Saccharomyces cerevisiae S288C: one gene and its partners. The gene in region 2 interacts genetically with the main gene of each other region. Each region holds a gene or a part of one and is shown on either strand. Other genes may lie near its edges.

Region 1 (3,221 bases), on a different chromosome or scaffold from region 2:
GCCAGTATTAAATTAGACGAATGAGGGAAGAAGGACAGCTTTTCGAAGGGGCTGGTGAGGCCGATTGCTGTCGTGGTAGAGTTGGCGTTCATTGCGGCAAGAGCGATAGCTTAAAAATATTGTTTTTTTTTTCTCTTTTATTAAACTATGTTTTATACTGTTATGTTGCGTTGAGTTATGTCAAAATATTATGTTGCCTTGTATGTTTTTGGACCCGACAAAAACACAGGCTGAAAAGAAACACGTATGTATGTATATGTATATAAACATATGTGTGCATATATAAGTGCACGTATAGAAATAATATGCGATAAAAGTCTATTGTTCCTGGCTCATAAAACCTAGGAACTGAACGAGTTTTTTTCTTTGGTGATTCTGGCGTGATTCAACATTCGTATGCGATGACGGGCAGATCCGCGTCGTAAAAATGTTCTTAAGAAAGGAAAAGGGGAAAATGCATGCTAATCACATAATGCTAATGGGCCGGATGTTATTAGTGAGAGGAGAAGAGTCGCTGGATGCTGGGGAAGCGGAATGAGCTTCTGCAGTAGAAGAACCATCGGCAGCGTCACACAGTACTACCTCGCTGTCGATTTCGTCTATTTCGTCGAGGATCCTGTCCAGCATATTGGCGTGGCCCACCATTTTTCGTAGATCAAGTTCTCTGTGGTGGTGTCGAGTAAGGGCGCACTGAGACAGCTTGGAACGTATCTTGCTTATGTATAAGTATTGCTGAGGTATGGTCATGTACGGAGACATGCTGCTAAGCGGTGGGTGAGAGGTTGCCAACGAGGTGGGAGAGGGGAAAAATAACTTTAACACTTTAAAGAACTTCAAACTCAGTAGTCGTCCCCTCACACTAACTTGATCTCCTGTATATATATATATGTGTGTGTGTGTGTGTGTGTGTGTGTGTGTGTGTGTGTTCATCACCTTACTATTGTATATTAATATTGTACGTGTATTTGTGAACATGCACGTTCACTACGCTGCTGTTATGCTACTCTTCGACAGGGGTTGAAAAGGGCGGCTACGTAAATTTTGATCTGACAATGCAGTAAGCACAAACACTCTAAAAGATAAGTTTGCTACGACATCATCTACAGGAAGATTTCTTCGAGAACGCTTTAAGGTTTTTCGCTTTTAAATTATGACCCCGTGGTGTTTGGGTTAAATTACCAGTTGATGCGGGGGGGGGGGGGGGGGGGTTATATCAAAGTGGGGAAAACCGACTAAGGGCGGGCTTCTTTTGCAGTTGGCGTTGTGAGCGGGCATTGTGAAAGAAGAGCCAGGGTATATGGAAGATGGCAGACCCGTGTGGTTTCGGTTAAGCTGAGGCAGGGCGGGCGCGGTGTTGCGGGCGGGGCAGCGCCCGCAACATTCGGCGACTCGACGCGCTGCCAGGCTGGAAAGTTAGGACGGCGGCACCCCTGGTGGTTGCAAGGGTTTAGCTTATTTCAGAAAGGGATACTGGCCAGCAAACGTATTAGGGGCACACTATTGCCATTTTTGAGTATATCCATGGTTGCATGGTCGGACGCAAAGCTACTTTGCTCTGGTCACACTAAATAATCGCGCGGTCAATTATTTAGAGGTATTGGCGAGACATATGAGCACATTCCTCGTCGGTTTATTGTCTCGTGGTCATTTGCGTTAAATGATGAGCTAATACAGAGAGCAGAGCCAAAATGAAAAGCAAAAAAAAAAAAAAAAAAAAAGATAAAGCGATAAACATCGAGCCACGTGACCATATATGAGAAATGATCATCTGAAGAAGAAACAAAGTAGTTCTATACGGCTTTAAATGTTCGTCTTGGCTCCAATCTACATTTGCTTGAGAAATAGCTTACTACATACAATGCACATTATACACGTACAGAAAAGACAGCAGCTATCGTTTTCAGAAGAAAAATAGATAGATACGGATCTGAGGTGAATATAATGCTGCATTGTGCGAGGAGGTATATGTTAGTCAGGCCACGTCTCCTGTGGCAAAGTGGGACATGTGTTGCTCGTTTCCAGTCGTCAGTACGAACACCAGCTAGCGAACCATCGGCAGAGAAAGGGGTCGACGAGTGGCTTGAAGCGATCAACGAGCTAAGGGAAGAGTTCTCTGCAAAAGAATACCTGCCAGAGACCTCGCTGGCTCCACCGGGCCAGTCCAAAGTAGACCTCTTACAGGGTTCACAGGCGGGCTCCAAGATAAAGCCAACTGCAGAGCAGTTGGCACAATGGGAGGCACTGAAGTCCGTGCCCATTCCTCCACGCAAGAACGCAACGCTGGATCACATCACAAACATGATCATGCGCCACGGTAAGAAGGAAAAGGCACAAACCATTCTGTCCAGGGCCTTATATCTGGTGTACTGCCAGACCCGGCAGGACCCCATCCAGGCTTTGGAAAAGTCACTCGACGAACTAGCTCCGCTGATGATGACCAAGACATTCAACACAGGCGTGGCCAAGGCTTCTGTCATTCCTGTGCCTCTGAACAAGAGGCAAAGAAATAGGATCGCGTGGAACTGGATCGTACAAAGCGCAAACCAAAGAGTGTCGAGCGACTTCGCCGTGCGTTTGGGAGAAGAACTCACTGCCATTGCCAAAGGCACTTCGTCTGCCTTTGAAAAGAGGGACCAGATTCACAAGACAGCCATTGCTCACAGAGCATATATTCAATTAAAGTAATCTAGTCTACGTAAACTTGCCTGTACATAAACACATTTATATGATTTTCCGTATAATCTCTTTTTATCGGTCCTGGTAGAAGGCAATGCCCACACCAAGCAGACTGCCCCAGAAATTACAAATAATATCCTTCACATCGAACACCCTTTGTCCCCGCGAAACCACGCTTTGGGCGAATTCACTCGTTACACTTGCGCATAATGAACAGATCAGCACCCCTAACACGTACTTGTTGGCCTGTAGCTTGCGGAAAGTCACGATGTCCTCAGCAAACATCTTTACAAACAGCCACGACTCCCACATGAACACGACAAAGTGAGCAACTTTGTCGTTAGTCGACGTGATCGCTTGAAACACTTTGTTGGTAGTGATGCCTAAGATACGTGCATACCAACGAGCTTACCACGAACATATATACATACGTTCTTCTCAGCTGTACCATTGTTTGCTCTTGTGGTCTTTGGGTTCTTTCTATGTCTACTTTTTTCTCTGTTCGAGTTGATGTGAAAAGAAGTATGTCGCCTCGCTTTTCGCCT
Region 2 (4,797 bases):
GTTTGCACTGCCGTACTTTCTCAAACATTCATCATAAAACCCGTATACTTGGGTAATCTGCCTAGACTCGTGATTGCCTCTCAGTATCGTAATTCTATGTGGGTATCTGACTTTCATGGCAACTAGGTAAGATACAGTTTCAACAGAATAATATCCTCTATCCACGTAATCACCCATGAAAAGGTAATTGGTGTCAGGACAAGGGCCACCAATCTTAAAAAGTTCTAACAAGTCATGGAATTGACCGTGTACGTCACCACAAATGGTAACAGGCACGTTAATTGGTTTAACATTCTCCTCGAACTGCAACACGTCCACCGCCATTTTACATAGTCGTGCTACATCGTCTTCTGATAGTGGCTCGCATTTACTCAAATGCTCAATCCATTGGTCAAGCTGATTTATATTTGTGTTATTCAGTTCTAGTGGTTTGGAAGATTTGTGATCTGCTATGCCCGAGGAACCAGGTTTTAAATCATCAACCGAGAATTCTTCTGCATTATTATCCGATGAATTGTTGTTGAGATCCATATCTTCAGATACTGTGGGAGTCAGCTGTTCGGTAACAGCATCTTGCATAGGCACATCTAAATCTGTATCCATTTTTCTTTTTGTTTATTGTTTTATGCGATAATTTATATCCCTCTTTCCACTATGAACTAAATAGGGGCAAAATAATTTGTTTTTTTCTTTCTCTTTTGCCTTATTTCAAAAAACACAACCGGTAAAATTAACAGTTTAAAATTAGATAATAACTCTATTCAACCTGAACTCACTAAACTCTTACTAAATTACTGGTAAGGAAAGAAAACTAGGGGAAGACGAGTGAAAAAAGAGCAGTCCAACAGGTGTATTTCTAAGAAGAATAAAACACTTTTTGTAAATATCGTGTCCACTGGGGCAATTTAATTTACACTAAAACTAATTGGAGTATGTGTATATCAAAATCAATGAAAGTGCAGCGTCTGATTCACTAATTACCTCCTTTACTGTGAAACGGTGCGTCGAAAGGAACCTGTAACAAAAACCTGCTAAAAAGAATGCCGAACTAATGTAATCCGGAAAACTATTTCTACTACTATGTGTTAGTCGATTAAAATAGCCGAAAATCTTTCAAGCACGACAGAAAGATTCATTATCATTCTCCATTTCACAGGTATTCCATTTTCCGTTCATTTTTTCACTTTTTGATTTTATCCTTAAAACCCGCCCGGTTCATCACTTTGCACGCCACAGAAACCTCAGAATAAGCTAAAGGGTAATATAATAAAGCCCTTCGATTCAATAATAGCATTACCCAAGAGGCATAGCGGCAAACTAAGTTGACAACACAAAATCAAATCGCTTCATTTTTATTTTATTAATGATATTTTATTAGAGAGGAAATTATGTAATATCTAGATATTAAATATAAAGTAGATCTCTGTCTAAAATATTCTTAACAAAATCTTATATTCGAAAGGATGACGGTCCAATCAAAGGATTGTATAAGAGAAATTAGTTTTCGAAATCAATTTTTACTTGACCTGAACTTAACGATTTGCTCTCAATCCGCTTATTTGGATCTGGCTCTCACCTTCCGTCTCTTTCTCTTAAGTCTTCTAGTTCTCTTCTTTCTCCACTTAGCTCTCATTTGGAATTAAGTCGATATGACTATCTTAGGATTGAAGTAAAATATAAGATGAAAACAGAAAACAAGCGAAATTTCAAAGAGAGAAGTGAAACAATAATGACGGATAACAATTATTTAACATTCAGAAATATTACATTCGTTAACTCTCCATATATATAAATCACCCCAGCAGAGGAAGATGGGATTTCTGCCAGCAATGATGACGGGTAAATGGATAGCATCGCAGCTGCGACACCTTTTCCATGGTGCGACACGCGTCGTACAATGACCTAAAAATCCTAAAATAAAATAAGATGAATCTAATAAGGAAAGGTACTGGTGAAATGAGATAAGGGTGTACGGGTGTGGTAACCGTCGTGAAATAAAGAAAGCATTCTGAACGATGAATACTAAATAAGGGAAAGTGGAAATAAACGAAGTGTCGAAAGAGGAGAAGAGGTCTTGGCTTTCATATAGTGGAAGAAATTCTAAGCTACAACACAAAGTCTCCAACCACCTTTTGTTTAGTCAATTATAAAAATACTTTGATTGCTATTTCGAAACCGTGAGATTGCTGAGAAGGGAAAGTGAATGATATTTTTTTGCATTTTTTGAGGCGTTCTTTTTTTTTACACTGACAAATTTAATGGGGGATTCTAATTCCAGCCAAGAAGCGTATTCTGATACAACATCCACGAACGCTTCTAGAATCGCAGATCAAAATCAACTTAATTTAAACGTGGATCTTGAAAAAAATCAAACAGTAAGGAAGTCAGGTTCACTGGAAGCATTACAGAATGCAAAGATACATGTTCCCAAACACAGTGATGGTTCACCACTAGACTATCCAAAATTAAATACTTACACGTTTGTGCCTACCACAGTGCCGCCTTATGTTTTAGAGGCGCAGTTTGATAAATTAAGACTTCAGGATAAGGGCACCGTTGATGGAAATGTTACCGATGATAAAAATCTTCCAAAAGAGTTTAAATGGGGCCAGTTTGCATCTACCATCGGCTGTCATTCTGCATACACTAGAGACCAAAACTACAATCCTAGTCACAAATCCTACGATGGTTACTCTCTATCATCATCTACCTCATCAAAAAATGCGGCTCTTAGAGAAATTTTAGGTGACATGTGCAGCGAGTGGGGAGGTGAAGAACGACTAGAAGGTGTTCTACATTCAGAAATAGGTGCCAATTTAGAGTTCAACACGACAGAAGAGAGAAAAGAGTGGTTACAATATATCGAAAAGGTAAAAGATTTCTATTACGGTGATAATAAGAAGAACCCAGAATCACCCGAATCAGTACACAACAAAGTTTACAAGTCAGATTGGGTAAATGAGCTCAATAAAGAGAGAGAAAAGTGGCGGAGGTTAAAGCAAAGGAAGTTACAACAGTGGAGACCTCCTTTGACGTCGCTATTACTTGATAATCAATATTTGATTTTGGGTTTGAGGATTTTCACTGGTATATTATCGTGCATTTCACTTGCTCTGGCAATCAAGATTTTTCAAAACTCAAGATCAAATAACACCATCAGTGAAAGTAAAATCGGGCAACAACCAAGCACCATAATGGCCATCTGCGTCAACGCCGTGGCGATTGCGTATATTATTTACATTGCACACGATGAATTTGCTGGTAAACCTGTTGGTTTGAGGAATCCGTTAAGCAAACTGAAACTAATTTTGTTGGACTTACTTTTTATAATTTTTTCAAGCGCTAATCTAGCGCTGGCATTTAATACTCGTTTCGACAAAGAGTGGGTTTGCACTTCTATTCGCAGGTCAAATGGAAGCACGTATGGATACCCAAAAATACCGCGTATCTGCAGAAAACAGGAAGCTTTATCCGCTTTTCTGTTCGTTGCCTTGTTTATGTGGGTAATCACTTTCTCGATCAGTATTGTTAGAGTAGTCGAAAAAGTCAGTTCAATTACCAACAGAAACTGAGCTCGACAAATATAGAAATTAAAAGAATTCTTTTAGATACCAAGATTGACATTTATATGCATTGTATATTTTTGACTTAAAAAATTACTCCGGCTTGGCATTTATTCATTAACGGCGGGTTTGATTATATTAGGCTTTGTGCGATATAATATGTATTACCCGAAGGGAGGGCTATTGCACTTTCTTTTCCTTTCCGTTTTAAGGGCCCTTTTTCATTTCGATGTTTGATGGACACACATGAAGTGAAATGTGGCAAATAGAACATCTAGAAAAACTAGGGCATTAGGTAAAGTACCCCAGCAGAACTTCACTTTACAACGCAATTGATTCATATCACTGCTCTTTTATATTGTCCTTTTTCTCTTTTAGAGCTTTTCATCCGCATCTTCTAACTTCTGTGCACCCCTTTCATTGTTGATTACATTTTACCTCAGTTACACATTTCTTTTAGCAATTCGACATTGCTTCTACTTACCGATAAATAAGCGTACATTTTTGAGTCTTGAAAGGATTCTTACATATACCTAAACAAAGAATAACAACAAAATCGCAAGCAGCAAAGCATGTCTGAGACTCTGCCTAGATCTGATGATTTAGAGGCCACTTGGAACTTTATAGAGCCAGGAATTAACCAAATACTGGGTAATGAGAAAAACCAAGCATCCACGTCTAAGCGAGTTTACAAAATTCTTTCTCCAACCATGTATATGGAAGTCTATACCGCAATTTATAACTACTGTGTGAACAAATCACGCTCGTCTGGACATTTTAGTACTGACAGTAGAACTGGCCAATCAACAATTTTGGTTGGCAGTGAGATTTACGAAAAGTTAAAGAATTATTTGAAGAATTACATTTTAAATTTTAAGCAGTCTAATTCAGAGACCTTTTTGCAGTTTTACGTCAAGCGCTGGAAAAGGTTTACAATAGGTGCCATTTTTTTAAACCATGCATTCGATTATATGAATAGATATTGGGTTCAAAAGGAAAGAAGTGACGGCAAAAGGCATATTTTTGATGTAAACACCTTGTGCTTGATGACATGGAAAGAAGTCATGTTTGATCCGAGTAAAGATGTTTTAATAAACGAATTATTAGACCAGGTAACCTTGGGAAGGGAGGGGCAAATAATTCAAAGAAGTAATATTAGCACTGCCATAAAGTCTTTAGTTGCACTAGGTATCGATCCACAGGATTTGAAAAAGTTGAACCTAAATGTCTACAT
Region 3 (4,558 bases), on a different chromosome or scaffold from region 2:
CGAAAACCAAAGTACTGTTTGGTGGAATCAAACCTGGGAAACCACGTGGGCCATAAGCATATGGGCCAGGGATGGTTAACCTAGCTTTTTCACCAACAGACAACTTTGGAATACCAACATCCCAACCCTTGATGACTTGGCCGACACCGATGTTACATTGGAATGGAGAGCCCCTGTCAACGGAGGAATCGAATTTTTGGCCGTTCTCCAAGGTACCGGTGTAATGAATGGTAACCAAGTCACCTGTCTTTGGGAAGGTGGCACCATCACCTGGGGAAATTCTGTCAATTTTGACGTTACCTTCAATTACTTCAGACATTATTACTTGTTTTGATTGATTTTTTGCTTATACTCGAGTTTAGGTGAAAGGCCTTACTTTAAGCTTTCACGAGTTTATCCACCAAATTCTTTCAACGACGTCTCTCTTCCGGCAATTTTTTTTGCCCGAAAAAGACTAAGGCGGGTGAGGGGAATTGAACGGCACTATAATGTGGAGGTAAACAGAATGATCAAGCGCTATATACATAAGTAGCTATAGATTATTTATTTCAAGACGGCAACCAACTTTTCGCCAGAATTCCTCCCGTGCTTAATATCATCAAGTAACTGTGGGATATCATCTAACCCGTTCTTGTAAACTTTCACTGGGATGTGGTGGATTTCACCATCATTGATTTTTGGATTGATGAACTTAATAAATTTTATGGCGGCTTCCTTGTATTCAGGGTCTGCTGGCAAAGTAAACGTGCCAAATGGGACGTCGTTACCTCCTATCAAATATAGAAGGGTTCCTTCAATACTGACGTTTTGCCTCCTGTCTTCCTCCTTGATATCTTTTTCGGTTAAAACGGTCAATTGAACGACCGTAGCGTCTAAGTCATCAGCGGCACATTTGTACACCTGTTGAATAGTTTCTGTGTTGGAGACACAGTCCACCAAGTAAGGAATGTTGTTGTACTTCTTTTTTATCTGTTCGATAACGTCAGCATCGTGGTAGTCAAAAAGTTCATCTGCACCGTACTCTTTCAACAATTTTTCATGTTTACGAGAAGCAACGACGATGATCTTGCTGAAACCGTTTAGTTTTTTTGCCAATTGAATAAGCATCTGGCCAACAGCAGTGGCACCACCCCAAAATAAGATGGGTTGATCTCTTTGCGCTTTGGAGGGCTTCCATGTCATGTCCAAGCCAAAACTATGTGTAAGGATCATACCAGCCGTGGTCAATGAGACTGGGAGGGATACTGCCCCTTCTAAAGATTTTACGGGGCCTTCTGGTAGCTTGTCTTTACCGCACAATCTAAACTCTCTGGCTGGTTTATAAGCAGTCTCGGATGAAATGGCAGAGTACTCAGCAAAGGCACCGTTTGAGGGGAACCTCACTGAAGCACCGTGAATAACCCCATAAATGTAATCACCAATGGCAAAGCGTGCAGCATCAACATTTGGGCCCAACTTTACGATTTGGCCGGCTGCATCACAGCCTAAGAGGGCACCTTGAGGACCAATCTTGAAATCAATATGTTTCCAATCGGTAGGGTTACCGGCAACGGCGACAGTCTTAATTAGAACAAATCCTTCTTCTAATTCAGGAATTGGAATGTCCTGTTTGACTACAGCCTTGCCATTTTCAATGACAACGGCTTTCATGGTTTCTGGAATCGAGGCGGACATGCTTGATATGCAGTATGATATTGCTTTTTGCTGTGTATAGTTAACGATTTTTTTTCAACTAGAATTACAGTACTAATCAAGAAGTGAGAGGAAGAAAACGGCAAAAAAAAAACTCTCTCCTTTTAAATCGAAGCATTGCCGAAATACCTTAAAAACGGTCTTAAATCCTTAACATCTGTCCTTACTAATCGATGCCAATCCAACGGAGGGAGCCCATATGCTAGGTACTAAGAGTACGCAGGGGCGGAACCGCGCGACAACCGTAAGCGGATCCGAGGAACTTTAGTCAGCAGGGGCTGTGATGACCATTAAAAAATTGCGGACACAGGTAGTGGAACGAGCAATCAATGTGATCAATTTGCCATTTCATTCCACGAAATGGTTTCCATTCTAAGCATGAATGCTTTGACGTTACGGGTGTTGGTTATTTCGGTTCTTTTTATTGCTTCCGTGGGCACGTACGAGAAGGGAAGATGAATAGAAAAAGAGTTTCCGAGTTTTGTATGTCCAATGTTTACATAATTTATATAACTTGAAGTTTAATCTTGGCATAAAGCTCTAGTTGTGACGAAGTGTGTAGGCCATCACATCAGTTCTCCAGTTTTCTACCCAATTTTTTTATGGATACCTTGATTTTTGGTTTAGGGCTGGATGTCTTTACGCCCTTTATTTGTGTTTTACTGCCCAAACTAGTGCCGGTCTCTAAATATTTTTCTGTATTAGTAGTAGAATCGTTCTCCATTAGTAATGCTTTTTTTTTCTTTTCAAAATTGATTGCCTTGACGTCTAAGTAGTTATTCAGTTCTTTTTCCTTTTTTAGCAACTCATTCTTGCTCTTCTGGTAAAATTCCAGGTCCTCTTTACTCAACCTAGTAAAACTTTCACGGTCTCTCACCAAACCGTTATATTGTTTTTGTTTACTAATAGCATTAGACCTAAGCTGATCTCGCAGGGACTTCCTGGTTTTCCTTTTATATTCCGCTTCATATTTTTTTTGCTCCACTTGCTCTCGTATCCTCTGGGCCTCTACATTACCAACTCCTTCTGACACGAATTTCAGTGGTTTTTTCTCTCTTGCACTATTAGCATTATTATCACTGGTAGATGACATGATGATATAACAGAGCCCACAGTCTTTTGTTGGAACCGCTTTCTCTAGGCTTCGATGGACTTACATCTAATTGCACATTCTCGTGCGTTTAAACGTCATTTTTCCCTCAGATTGGCAGTGCATCAAAAGTAATTCCTAGGGACGACAAAAAGGCGGAAAAGGTTTCAGAAAAATAAGCGGACTTAGCTCAGTTGGGAGAGCGCCAGACTGAAGAAAAACTTCGGTCAAGTCATCTGGAGGTCCTGTGTTCGATCCACAGAGTTCGCAATTTGAAAAATTTTTTTTAATGATTACGCATGTGGATGTGTTCAGTATCAACCGATGCTCGCTTTTCCAATCAAATGATACAAGCCAGACCGAACATTGCATGTTTTCCATTGTAACTTCCCAGGTATATCTGAATTAGTTGTAAAAAGTAATAGTTTACCCGGAATCGTGTGAAAAATTTTGAAAAAAAAAAATGAAGAGCCAAGATACAATGAGATGAGATGAGGTGCTGAAGATGCATGGAGATTCTGTATTTATCTCAAATAAAGTACGCAATAGAGTATATAAGCCAAGTCACCTTTTATATTTCTTAGTTTTTAACTTGCAAAGACTTATAAGAGACTTATAAAACAAGGAGAAAATGGCCAAAAAAGCTATCGATTCAAGAATCCCGTCACTGATCAGGAATGGTGTTCAAACCAAACAAAGGTCCATATTTGTCATCGTTGGGGACAGGGCACGTAACCAGCTCCCAAATTTACATTATTTGATGATGAGTGCTGACCTTAAGATGAACAAGTCCGTCTTATGGGCTTATAAGAAGAAGCTTCTAGGATTCACTTCGCACAGAAAAAAAAGAGAGAATAAAATTAAGAAAGAAATTAAAAGAGGTACAAGGGAAGTGAATGAAATGGACCCTTTTGAATCTTTTATCTCTAACCAAAATATCAGATATGTATACTACAAAGAGAGTGAGAAAATATTGGGTAATACCTATGGTATGTGTATTCTTCAGGACTTCGAGGCATTAACCCCAAATCTTTTAGCAAGAACCATTGAAACTGTAGAAGGTGGTGGTATTGTGGTTATTTTATTGAAATCAATGTCATCGTTAAAGCAACTGTACACCATGACTATGGATGTTCACGCCCGTTATCGTACTGAGGCTCATGGTGACGTTGTTGCAAGATTTAACGAAAGATTCATACTTTCTTTAGGTTCAAATCCAAACTGTTTAGTCGTTGATGATGAATTAAATGTTCTACCGCTATCTGGTGCCAAAAACGTGAAACCACTACCTCCTAAGGAAGATGACGAATTGCCTCCAAAGCAATTAGAGTTGCAAGAATTAAAAGAATCCTTAGAAGATGTCCAACCAGCTGGTTCATTGGTTTCTCTATCCAAAACTGTCAATCAAGCCCACGCTATTCTTTCTTTCATTGATGCCATTTCGGAAAAAACTTTGAATTTCACAGTTGCACTAACAGCTGGAAGAGGTAGAGGTAAGTCTGCTGCTTTAGGTATTTCTATTGCCGCGGCCGTTTCTCACGGGTATTCTAATATTTTTGTTACTTCTCCATCTCCCGAAAATTTAAAGACTCTATTTGAGTTTATTTTCAAAGGATTCGATGCCTTAGGTTACCAAGAACACATTGATTATGATATCATTCAATCTACGAACCCCGACTTCAACAAAGCCATTGTGAGAGTTGATATTAAAAGAGATCACAGACAAACGATTCAATATATTGTTCCTCAAGACCATCAAGTTCTGGGCCAAGCTGA
Region 4 (4,086 bases), 370 kb from region 2:
AAGATGAAGGAAAAGCTGACTGAAAGATCTCCGAAAGTACACGGAAATTGATAGTATTTAAATGAATCAGCTGAGACTTCCAGGGATGTCCGAAAATGGGGGGTTAAAGGCGTATTGTCCCAAAGAAAATGAGAATCGAGATTGTCTCTCCTTGATCGTCATAGTAGGAGCGTAACTAACCCCTATAATCAGACCCTCGGCCGCTCCGTCTCACTGCCGATTTCCCTGTATGGCACCAAATTTTTTCTTTTACAAGTTCCTTACGTAGAGAACGAGAAGAGAATAGAAAGGAAGGGGTTGACCGTTGGAAGGAGGGGGTCCAGCGAGGCTAGACTAGGTTAGGCTAGGCCAGAAGAGAAGGAGGGGAGGGAAAAGTCAGAGAGTCAAAAGGAGAAGGGGCTACGCTCCAAATGGCGTAGAGTAAACTAGTAGATATTGAGATTAGGCTTCCGTTACCGACGTGCATGATGAAGATGACAATGCTTACTGCGACGATGACGAAGGTGGCTCTCGAAGAAGATAATAAGAAAGTAGTATTAATAGGGCTGGCAGTAAGATAACTACATCTGATGTCATAGATTTTAAAATACTAATATTATTATTTACGTTGGGTACATTACATACGATAAATTCATGCAGTTGTAGTACTTGAGTGATTGTTATTTGCCTTTCTTTTTCTGCTTTTCGTATTCTATTTTTCTTATGCTTCCTGTACTTGCTCTGCGGGTATGCAATCACACCTGTAGCTGAATGCAAAATTAAAATTGCAAAAGTAAAAAAAAAAAAACAAAATAAAAAAGGGAAGAGAAACAAAGTTATTCTACCATATCTCGAACACTCTTGCCAAGAGAAGATAGAGTTTAGAAAGAATATCCTGTGGAGGTTGCTGCTGGTTGGCTAGCTGAGGAGGCGTGAGGATCAGTGGTTTCGCTGAGGGCACTCCTTGGTTTATCTGAGATATGCATTGAAGATTGGCATGAACCCTTTTAAGGAACTGAGATATAAGTTGCTGTATCCTGATGATGTTATTGTTATTGCTATTATTTATATTGTTCTGTAGATTGTTTTGTAAACTATTATTCATCTGAATAACTCTAGCAAGTAATATGCTGTTGATATGCAATAGCAGTTGTACCTTATACTGTCTTTGCTCATCGACCGTGGGGAGGTTCAGCTCTGCAGTTGCATTTGCAGTTGCATTTGCAGTTGCATTTGCAGTTGCATTTGCATTTGCATTTGCATTTGTATTTACATCTACGCCAGCGCCAGTATTGCGGTTCTCGTTTTCAGTGTTGGTGTTCGTATTCGAGTAGGCAATTTCACTGCTCATTTTTCTGGGAAAAAAGGAAATCTGTGTGTTTTGCTTATATGCACATTGAATTTACACTCCCGATCGTGATGCGCTCTGAGCCCTGAATAGAGGGTATCATAAACGGCAATCTTACTACGACCCCACGTAATATGCTTTTATGGGAAGTCTGTTCTCCACTCCGTATATACTGTTAGGAGAAAAAAGGAAAAAAAATTTGCCCGAAAGTCGATTGTTACCCGGCAAAACAATCATCAAAAAAAAACAGGTAGAAGAAGGCTTGCTATAATTTGAACACTCTCTACCCTCCTGGCTGCTTTATCTACTTCTGTTGGCTTGAGAAACGTCATATCTATATATAGCGTAGATATGTTTATTCGCGTTTGCACTGGCCTTGAAGAAACGTGAAAAGAGGGTGGTTTCACCGCACAGCGGGGTTATCCTTGGTTACTCGTAAATGCCAATAATCCATCTTGAATAATTCCTATTCGAGACGCATGGGGAAATGCAAGGCAAGCTAACACGTAGTAGAATACCCTGCTGCACAGCGCCGTTGGGGTCTCAAGTGCAATTGCCGTTTTGCGCGGCGATAAACGGCTAAAGATTACTTCAGTTGGCCACGGCAGCTGCGCCCTTCCCGAGTGGATTACGCTCACGTGCTTTCCGCGGAACAAAAATGTGAACGCCACGGGAAAAAAGCATTATCCCCGCGCCGCTTCTTGACGCCTCTGATTGTGCTGATTGATTCCGCTTTTTTTTTTTACCGGCTTTTTTCTCCGCCTTCTTCGCCTCAATCGAGAGTTCTGGTGTAAATTCTCTTACGAAGTGCAAAGTTAGTAGGAAAGTAAAAAAAATAAGAAAAAGGAAAAATGCCTAGAAATGCAGACCTCCGGCCACAACATTTTTATATAATACATTCGAGCATCAAAAACCAGGAACAATAGAAGAGTAATCGCTACTTGTCAAATAAAAATAAAAAAAGGAAACCTAAGGCATAGTGTTTTCATAAGCATCGCTACTTTTTCATTGCCACCCTAACTGTTCCTTTATTTCACCGGTTGGACGTTATCATTTCTGCTAAGAATCACCTAAAGTCTTTCAACGTCTAAGAAAGCATGAATGTCATATTTTCTTTGGCGAGTTTCGTCAAAAACATGTATAATGCAAGTTTGAACCAACGTAATCTAATAAGCCTGCCGTTCAACTTCATGCTTAATTTTGCGCCAGTGTTTATTTGGCTGTCTATATTCAAGCGCGCTGGTCTGATACCCATAAGGCTCAGACCTGACATTCATAGCAAGTTTGCTTTTTTTGCTGATCAATTCCTCTTTGGGGACTATTGGCATGAACTTACTGTACAATTGCCCGATAATACTTCGAAGCTATTTTTCTGGTCATTCATATCATCTTCTGCATTTCTCTTAGTATTTCTGATATGTATTCCCTTTGCCATTTGGTACTACATCTATTACATTAAGCACGTTAACTATAATCTGTTAGAGTGGTTCGCAAATATTTTTCATTACCCCTGCAAGCGCAAGCAGCGGCCGATCCAAAAGAGATTTCGGACAATTTTCATACCGTTTGCCTTGCCCCTGTTTACATTTGTTATACTCAACATTGATCATTTCTTTGCTTACCAGTCGGATGCAAACTTTACTAAGACCAAGGATTTACTGGCTTGGTTCTCCTATGTCATCCTGCACTTGACAGCTCCAATTTTAACAGCTGTATACTTATACGTCTTCCAACCACCGGGGACTTTAAAATGCTTTAGTTTTGCCCTAGGATTACAAAATATAGCGGGGGTCCTTACCCATCTGCTTGTTCCAATGGCCTCCCCATGGTTTACTCATCTGTACGGTATTGATGACACCGAACATGTTAATTACACCCAGGAAGGGTTTGCTGCCGGTTTGATAAGAGTAGATAGCCATTTGGGTACTCATTTGAACACTAAAGGATTTCACATGTCTCCTATTGTGTTTGGTGCTGTTCCTTCACTACACTCCGCCATTGCATTTCAATGTTTCTTGTTTTTGGTTTCAAGGTCCACCAGCTTAAAACACAGATTTTCCAATGCTGGAGGTTTCACAATGCACAATAATGATTCTTCCACTTTCAAGTTGAGTGAGGAAGACAGCGAAGATGAAGGTGACAATAGCATACCGCCCACGATTGGCCCTAACGACTTAGAGATGGAACCATTGGGTACCGTTGAGCCTGTAGATATTTCAAATGAGCGGTCCTCCTCCCCTTCATCTTCATTCACCGTATCCAGTAATGAAAGAAGCACCGGCGGCGGCGACGGCAGCATTATTAACAGCAATGGCAATAAGAAACCTCTCCAGTTTGTCCATTTATATGATGAAGACACGAACTTCACAAACAAATGGATTTTTAAAATAGTCAACGATGGGTTTATACCAAAATTCTGGGCTATCCTATATATAATACTACAATGGTGGGCTACCATGTATCTGGACCACCATTATAGATTTGACCTTTTCGTTGGTGTTTTATATGCAATGACAAGTTTCATCATCATAAACTGGTTTGTTTTACAACCAAAAGTTTTAAAAAAGTGGATTCATATAAGGTTAGGCGACAAAGTGGATACAAGAAACGAAGCTCGCACTTTTGGCATGAGAGTATTTTGTGGCACCAAGATGGAATGGTTTTTTGATCCGCTTGCATAGACTATAGAATGTCATAATGTAATAAAAGTAATTTCGGATAATTTAAATAATATAGATTGGCTTTTTTTTTAATAATAT

What was found.
Region 1: mutations in SRF1 (region 2) and RSM7 together harm fitness more than expected from each alone (negative genetic interaction), as found in Saccharomyces cerevisiae (2 studies listed by BioGRID).
Region 3: mutations in SRF1 (region 2) and YNL134C together harm fitness more than expected from each alone (negative genetic interaction), as found in Saccharomyces cerevisiae (one large-scale study listed by BioGRID).
Region 4: mutations in SRF1 (region 2) and SNF11 together harm fitness more than expected from each alone (negative genetic interaction), as found in Saccharomyces cerevisiae (one large-scale study listed by BioGRID).

The regions. Positions count from the first base shown.
Region 1 is NC_001142.9:637,696-640,916, reverse strand, and holds RSM7 (mitochondrial 37S ribosomal protein uS7m RSM7), read left to right. Parts: upstream 1-1,941; coding exon 1,942-2,685; downstream 2,686-3,221. Other genes in the region: TDA4 (Tda4p), read right to left, coding at 1-92; YJR115W (uncharacterized protein), read right to left, coding at 466-975; YJR112W-A (uncharacterized protein), read right to left, coding at 2,749-3,058, 3,108-3,127.
Region 2 is NC_001136.10:220,169-224,965, forward strand, and holds SRF1 (phospholipase D regulator), read left to right. Parts: upstream 1-2,258; coding exon 2,259-3,572; downstream 3,573-4,797. Other genes in the region: phosphoprotein phosphatase 2A catalytic subunit PPH21, read right to left, coding at 1-603; 60S ribosomal protein eL41 RPL41B, read right to left, coding at 1,556-1,633; cullin CDC53, read left to right, coding at 4,136-4,797. UniProt on the Saccharomyces cerevisiae protein: Regulator of phospholipase D (SPO14) which is required for SPO14 catalytic activity in mitotic cells. Essential to buffer the toxic effects of C16:0 platelet activating factor.
Region 3 is NC_001146.8:371,908-376,465, forward strand, and holds YNL134C (uncharacterized protein), read right to left. Parts: upstream 1,675-4,558; coding exon 544-1,674; downstream 1-543. Other genes in the region: peptidylprolyl isomerase FPR1, read right to left, coding at 1-319; FYV6 (Fyv6p), read right to left, coding at 2,264-2,785; ribosome biosynthesis protein KRE33, read left to right, coding at 3,414-4,558.
Region 4 is NC_001136.10:589,683-593,768, reverse strand, and holds SNF11 (Snf11p), read right to left. Parts: upstream 1,331-4,086; coding exon 821-1,330; downstream 1-820. Other genes in the region: IPT1 (inositolphosphotransferase), read left to right, coding at 2,425-4,008. UniProt on the Saccharomyces cerevisiae protein: Involved in transcriptional activation. Component of the SWI/SNF complex, an ATP-dependent chromatin remodeling complex, which is required for the positive and negative regulation of gene expression of a large number of genes.